2 linked regions of the Caenorhabditis elegans genome follow. The protein of the gene in region 1 interacts with the protein of each later gene in a biochemical or structural test. Each region holds a gene or a part of one and is shown on either strand. Other genes may lie near its edges.

Region 1 (3,924 bases):
TTTTTATTAACCTTCAACAGGATAATCATTCGCAAATGCCTCCACCAACTGGTACAGGTCACGCTCGTTGAAAACATCAGAAATTCCATCACAAGCCAGGAGCACCAGATAATCCGAGCTTTCAATAGGCACCTGACACGTTTCCGGTTCATTAGAGATCATCGGCCGTCCAGGAACATCTCCGAGTGCTCGGGTGAGATTTAGAACTCCGTTCACCCGCAATTCGCCTCCAATCACAAAAAGCTGGCCGCCAGCTTCCTCAACACGCCGAGCTTCCCGTTCATCGGATGGCGAGTGTCCACGTGTCAACTGACGGAATTCAATGTTCGACATGACGTATCCGGGTGAGTCACCGAGCCACGCCAGCGCCATAAGCTTCTGATCCATGTCGATTGCACAGCAGACAGCTGTACTTCCACCCTTCCAACACTCTTTCACACTTCTGACAGTCATTCGTTCGTCGAGAAGCTCCAGCGACTTGCGAAGCTGATCTTCGAGGCTATCTGAAGGATCTCGCGATTTTCGAACCTCCAACCATGTCTCCCAAAGGTGCCCGGCTGCGTACTGAGAGCACTCGTGACCACCGTGACCATCGAACACCGCTAACACCGAAATTGGATCCTAAAAATTTCATTTTTCAGTAATTTTCCAGGCCTAAAATCCTCCTAAACCTCTCCACGATCCATATATTGCCCATTAGGATACGCCAAAAACCGATCTTCTTGCTTGTGACGTTGCCCTTTCAGTTGATCGCCCGACACGTGGATTCCAGACCACTTTTCAGACAGAATCGGGCACGTTTCGGCGTTTTGCTGGAGAATCTTGTCGATCGCCGGCCAAATTTTGTCGTTGAATAGCTTTTTGGCTTCTGAAAATAAGTTGTATTGATGAACAGAAGTGTTGAGTTTTTGAAGATTTTTTAAAAATTCTATTTAACAAGTTTTATTTTTGCAAAAATTAGCAGATCAATGGGGAATGGCCAGCTAAAAATATTTAGCAGACCAATGAGGATAGGTCTGCTAAATATTTAGCAGACTCATGGTAGGTATGCTAAATATTTAGCAGACCCATAGGTGGTCTGCTAAATAATTAGCAGACCCATAGTTGGTCTGCTAAATAATTAGCAGACCAATGGGGATGGGTCTGCTAAATATTTAGCAGACCCAAGTTAGGTATGCTAAATATTTAGCAGACCAATGGGGATAGGCCTGCTGAATATTTAGCAGGCCCATGCTTGGTCTGCTAAATTAATAGCAGATTTTGCACATTTAATAATTACCTGTGGTACTATCGGTAACATAAATATCAGGATTATACTGAACATCTCTGAACGCAACTTCACTGAATTTCTCGTCAATTTCTGTGGCGATCAAGTGAGACACCCAGTGACAAAAGTCGACCGCCTGGCCTCTTTTCATCATTTTCTGGAAAATGTCGTGAATCGCGTCTCCGAAAACATCATGAACTGGTCCGGCGATTGGTGGATGACGGAAACGTATTGGAATATGCGGTTGTGGAGTGTCGGCAACCTCGACGTCATAGCTAGTTTTCTCCATTTCATCTGCAAATGCCTCCTCCAGAAGTGACCGGACACTTCGACGGCGATCGCCGATGTGATCCTGGAATATACATTTTTCTAACTAGCATTAAATATATAAAATCCCGTTTTCTACCTCGAAAACCGCATCCCGCTCCTCGTTTACTTTTTCCATGTATTTTTCCAGTTTTAAAACCACTACCGGCTTCGGTGGGACAGCTGGGTTGATCTGACATTTCAATAATTGTTTTTAACATAAAAATCAGAGAAAAACCGAGAAAAAACAATGGATTTCAACACAAAATGAGGAAAAATCAACAAAAAAATAATGCAGAATTTTCTGCACCAGAAACGCGCAAAGCTTCTCGTTTGCGCACTTTCGGTGCGTTGGCGCGTTTCTCGCGCGAAATATTAATTTAATTCGCATTGTATTGTATTAATAACATTTTTATCAAATCAAAAATGGATCAAAAATTTAAAATAAAAATCAATTATTCATATATATCCATGCGCGCCAAGATAATCCCACTCCACATTCGGCGTCTGTACTTGGCTGTCCAAAAGATCCCATTCCTTCACTTTCGCCCTCTCCGCCCAATTACATGCTTCATATTTGTGGATATATGTCTCCTTGAAATGCTCCCATAGCTCATTTGCCACGCGATACTGAAACTCCACGTGGCATCGGAATTCAGCGGGGTCGGCTCTAAGCTTGGGTAGCGAGTTGTAAGCTTGAACTGCGGCATTTTTTCTCAACTGGGCGTACTTATCGATTTTCCACGTGGTTAGTAAGAAGAAGTCCTTGTAAAGAATAAGAAGAGTATCGATGATTTCACCGGTTTCCTGGAAAAATCGCAGATTTTTCTTGAGTTAACTCAAACGCCATTGAAGGCCGCCTACCTCATCCTCAGCACCCAAATTCTGAAGTTCCCTGCATTTTCTCCGAATCTCGTACAACGTTTTTTTATACTTGTCGCGAACCTCGTTGTTCTCTACTTCAATGACTCGTTGTCCGGCGGGAAGCTGAATTCATTAATTCAGTTCTTGATAAATGTAATTTTGAAAAAAATATGTTTAAAAAACCTCGGCAACGTCAATTCTACCGTTATTCGAGAGGGTGATCGGTGTGCGCTTGTAGATTTCCTAAAAATTTATAAATTTGAGAAAATCCGTGCCCGTGATTAAGAATATTCTCACCTCAAAAATATCCGGTTTTTTGATAATCTCGTTACTTTTCGAGTAAAGTACACAGGGGCGTTCAACATTTTCCTCCTCGGGATTCACAGAGATTTTGACCTGAAAATTTCTTGAGCTTAGGTATAGGCATACGTTTAGGTATTGTCAAAGGCATAGACTTAGAAATTGGCATAGACTTAGGCGTAGGCTTTGGCTGAGGCCTAGGCTGAGTCTTAGGCTTTGGCTGAGTCTTAGGCTTAGGTGTGAGCTTAGTCTTAGGCTAACCTTTAGGCTTAAGCTTAGGTGTAGGCTTAGGTTTAGGCCTAGGCTTATGCGTAGGCTTAGGCTTGTGTCTCCAGGCATAGGCTTAGGTTTAGACTTAAGCTTAGATTTGTTTTTTTTTTCGAAGGTTTCTCAGCAAAAAAGATTGAAAACATAAGACTCTGAAAAAAAAACGAAAAATATTACCTTTGGGTCCCGTTCAGCAATACGTGGGCTCTCTTTCACCGCAACTGGGCCTGCCAGCTGATAGACGCTGGAAATATTATCTGTAGCTGAATCTACAGTGCACAGGGTTCCAAGACATTGCCCCATTATCGGTTGTGACAGGGAAATAGAGGATTACTTGGCGAAGGCTCAACTTGGTAGGCCGCCTAATTTACAGTACCCCACGACTGCCTTGTTTTCGACTAGTCCGGGTTATTTTTAAATTTTGTTGGAAAAACAACAAGAAAATTGTACAATTTCATGAATTTCGCTGGCCTGGTGAGTACTGTAAATTATGCAAAGTGATGGAAAATAAATATTGAACGAATTTTTTTCGAGCCGGGGAAACTTAGAGAATTAGTTTTCTAGCCTTCAAATCATGTTCCTGGGGTTTTTTTCCAAATTGTTTTTCTCAAAAATTTGTAAGATTAACACTTTTCATTTAAAAGCAATAATGATTTCTGAAAACCTGACACAAAAAGTTTTTGGTAACTGGGAAAAAACATGGGAACGTTGATGATAACAATTTGAGATCCAAAAAGAATTCTCGGGTGTGTGGAGGGGAAAAAAAGAAAAACACTCAAAAATGTCTGCACATTTTGAGTGCAAAAGAGCAAAAAAGCAACAAAAAAATAAAATTTTTAACATGAAATTTAAGAAATCTGCAATTCTCCTTCGACGACATCCTTCAAGCTGAGAATCTCCAATCTTCCGTGTCCCTTCGT
Region 2 (3,924 bases), on another chromosome or scaffold:
ACTGCGTTCCTCCAATGGAAGAAGAGGTAATTAAATAGTTTTAGACTTTATTTTCAAGTATTTTTTAATTTCAGATCAAACACTATGTGATCAAAACCAAAGGCGATAAGATCTTCATCGAAAAAGTATCATTCTTGTCAATCCCAGAAATGGTGGAGTGGCACTTGACTAAGAAGGAATCGGTTCAAAAAGATGTGTTTCTCATCAAGGCAATCTCACGTCAAGCTTGGGAGCTGGACCACGACAATATCGAGCCTCTGAAGAAGCTGGGAGAAGGTGCATTTGGAGAAGTGATGATGGGAACGATGAAGTTTCGGAAAGGAGGAAAGTCAGTTCAAGTGGCGATCAAGCAGGCGAAGCTCTCGAATCTCACAAAGGAGCAGATCAAAGAGTTCATGGGTGAAGCTCGTGTGATGCGTTCACTTTCACATCCCCATGTCGTTCGCTTTTATGGTGTGCCCCGTAGAAGAGTTAACGTTGCACTATGTCGGTCACTGAACGAGTTTCTTGCTAAATGTCACAGAAAATTGCGTTGCGCAACGCCTTTTTTTGTGTGTATGTCTGTGAATTGGCTCTCAGTGCTCAATGAGCTACGCGTTTTTCTTGAATAAAGGAAAGTTTTATGAACAGTTGATAATTTGAAATTTCAGTTTTATTTAAATATTTTTCCAACAACCTCGTTGTGTTTTCGAACATCAAAAATAATTTTTAAGATTCAGTCGAAGCTTTGTGCAACTTGTATTTAGGACATAATCTAAAATAGTTTTCCTCTCGAATCTCAGAGCTGTTGAAAAATATAATTAATTAATTTTGTACTATTTTGAATTAAAAAAACGCATTTTGGAAGATTTTGACTGCAGATATATGCAATTCAGAGTTAGATTTGAAGATGAAGCATCACAAACTGGAAAAGGCTTAATACCGCAAGTAGAGTTTTCACTTACTAATTTTTTACAAAATTTATTATTTACGTTCTAATCAACTTTTTTTTTTGAAAATTTTTCAGGTTCGAACCAGCAAAAATTCTCAAAATAACAAGACTTTGTTGTTGAAGTTTTGGCAATTTACCAAATTTTGACTGAAAGTTGTAAAGATTTAAATGGCGTTAGGAGCGTTTAATAATGATATTCAATTATGTTGGACTAAGTGTACAAAACTTTAAAAAAATTTGAAAGTATACATAGATTATTTCTAAAGAAGACGCCTATGAGTCTGTGGCAACGATATTTCAGAAGAACATTTTCAGACTCACAAGCTCTTTCGAAGCGTTTTTTAAGCGTTTTTCGAAAACAATACCAAGAAATGAATTACAAAATTTTTTTATTTAATGGTTTGTGTCTTCAATTAAAACACAGTTTTTTGAATAGATCAGATTCACCATGTCTGAATCCTTTAAAAAGTTCACTGCTTTTTGGGAATTTTTTTTGATAAATGAAAAAATATGCAAGAATCCAAAACCAAAGTTTTATACGGAGAAATGAAAATTTAAACTCAGAATAATCCGATAATTAGTCAAAATTCAACACATCATCGCCCCGCACTGTCTAGAAACCAGTTTCTCGTCTTCCATTTATTTTTCTTTTGAAAAAAGGCATTTTACGTACGTTTCGCCTTCTTTTTTCTCTCTTTTCAAAATCAAAGTTTTGTTATCGTAGTCAATTTTGTAGCATAGGACACAAAAAACACAGAAAAACTAGAGAAACATAGAGAAAACACACCGAGACCTACTCGTACGAAAGTTGAGAAATTGAAGAGTGAAATTAAATTGATTCTAATTGATTAGTAGTTACTGTCATTGTACCTATCTATCAACTTTCAAACTATAAATTATTGATTGAATGAGCAATTCTTCCACAAATTCAGGTTAGATTGTTTCTATTTTAATATTCCTATCTTCTAACAATTGAAAATATATATGATTCATGTTGACTGAGATTGATTGGTAGAAATAACAAAAAAAAGTTAGATAACATCGAACATAATTTGTTTGCATTCTTTGTTCTGCAGATTAGAACACAAAATTTATATCATGAAACTTTTTTTTAATTTGTAAGATAAGAAATGCGGGGTACATTCACACTGAAAACTGGAATTCCTTATTGATTTTTTTGAATAAGAAAAGTTTATTTTCGACTACGAGACTATTATTCAATAAGCCGTTAACATAGTCCCGAAAATTTTTACCTACATGCCTTCACCTACCTCGTACCTTCTTATCTATATTTTTCATTTCTAATTTTTAGAGTAATGCCTGTAAGAATTTAGAATTTTGTAAACATGGCCAAATATTATAATTACTAAACACTCTAATCATTTTTACTCAAAGTTTTGGTAGAGTGTCAAAATTTCAAAAGAAAAAGGTTTTTTTAACGACTGCCAGTTTTTGAAAAGGTTTACTATGAAATTTTGTATTAAAACATTGTCTAGTCTCAAACTAGAGTTTAGAACTCAATTAGATATTAGTCTAACTATATTATTCGAGTTGAGATCTACATGTGTGGGAAATTTCAAAACTTCAAAACTTGATTTTTTAAGTTCCCTCCTTGCCACTCGATTGTTTTGTGAAATTAATAGGAAAATTGATTAGAAAAAATGATTTTCTTGCATATTTCATCAAAAGTGCTGTGATTCCTTAGTAGTTCAGAGTTGCTGTAGCCTATAAGTTTTCCATGTTTGTTGCCAAGAAAACAGGTTTTTTTGGTGAAAAATAAGCTACATTAAAATCGAATAGGTCAGTTCCAAAACGAATGAACTCTGAAGATTGGAAATTGACCTCTCTTGCAATTAACCCATTAGCCAGAGACAAGCACAACACTCAAAAGTCAATCTAAATCTTACTTTCTGATTCATCCTTTTCCTTTACAATATATTCTGACTTCTGAATTCCAAAAGTTCAAAGAATACTCAAAAATTAACAAAAGTCGACCTGACATTTTGTAAGTGTCTATGTGTGCCAACAATTCGTCCGTTGAAATTTGAGAATTCGATCGTCGTCGTCGTCAGTCGAAGCCAGGCGACACATAACATTTTTTTTTCATTTTCATTTCTTCTTCAAAGAATTTAATAATATTAATCCATATTTTCTTTCAGAGGTCAATATAGATCAGAACAATCAATCAGACACGTTCAGGGAACATCCGGCAGTTACAGGCATTGCCAATCTTTCAAAAGGTATTCATTTTTCAATCTTTCAAATGTTTTCAAAGCATTTTAGAAAAATTTTGTTACAAATTTAGCAACTTAAGATAATAAATATGCGTAAATTTTTATTTTTTAAATACATTTTTAATTTGTTTTAAAAATTTTGAATTTACAGTCAAAAAGTGGACTCAGTTTTTATCTATAATAATTTTGGAAGTCGATCAAAAAACTCTATGAATTCCATACTTTATTCACGCTAGAGTTTAACAACTGTAGAGGCGGTGTGCGGCAAATTTTGAAATTTTCCGAGTTTGGCAAACTCGGCAAATTCTGCAAATTTACCGTGGTCGTCATACTCTCTAAATCGCAATATTTTTTTGAGCTCGAAAAGCGTCAAATTTAATGAAAAAATCTTGCAATTAGTTCACCGATTTTCGTTCGATTTTTGCCAAATGCTCATGTGTATATCTTGAATAAAAATGAAAGAAAAACGATTATTCTTTCATGAAGTTTCAGATCGAAACCATGCACAAATTTTTCATTAAAAATATTTTTTATGTGCGGTGAATGTCAAAATTTGCCAAGCTCGGCGAATTCGGCGAGTCTACATTTTTGAAATTAGCGATGCTCAGCAAACTCGGCAAATTCAGCAAATTTACCGCACACCCCTGTTGTAGATGTTGGAATCGCAAATAAACAAAACACTGTGATTTTAACAAAGGCAACATTTCGATTGAAACTATTTGAATTTTTGAGTGGTTTTATTGTGAAGAGTTTCAAAAT

Evidence for each region.
Region 2: of the proteins of fem-2 (region 1) and unc-43, one has a biochemical effect on the other in vitro, tested with the Caenorhabditis elegans proteins (one study listed by BioGRID).

Annotation. Positions count from the first base shown.
Region 1 is NC_003281.10:632,861-636,784, forward strand, and holds the start of fem-2 (Protein phosphatase fem-2), read right to left. Parts: upstream 1,767-3,924; 5' UTR 1,713-1,766; coding exon 1,674-1,712; intron 1,620-1,673; coding exon 1,280-1,619; intron 869-1,279; coding exon 672-868; intron 622-671; coding exon 12-621; intron 1-11. Other genes in the region: eakr-4 (EAK-4 Related), read right to left, coding at 2,033-2,380, 2,438-2,560, 2,621-2,680, 2,735-2,833, 3,182-3,307; sbds-1 (Ribosome maturation protein SBDS), read right to left, coding at 3,853-3,924. UniProt on the Caenorhabditis elegans protein: Dephosphorylates auto-phosphorylated Ca(2+)/calmodulin-dependent protein kinase unc-43/CAMKII in vitro. Involved in the regulation of sex determination.
Region 2 is NC_003282.8:10,348,132-10,352,055, reverse strand, and holds the start of unc-43 (Calcium/calmodulin-dependent protein kinase type II), read left to right. Parts: upstream 1-1,838; coding exon 1,839-1,863; intron 1,864-3,084; exon of another isoform or gene 3,085-3,090; coding exon 3,091-3,171; intron 3,172-3,924. Other genes in the region: Y43C5B.2 (Tyrosine-protein kinase), read left to right, coding at 1-26, 75-611. UniProt on the Caenorhabditis elegans protein: Acts in the signaling of a variety of pathways and processes. Phosphorylates 'Ser-319' of daf-16 in response to stress signals, such as heat, starvation and oxidation, which plays a role in prolonging lifespan.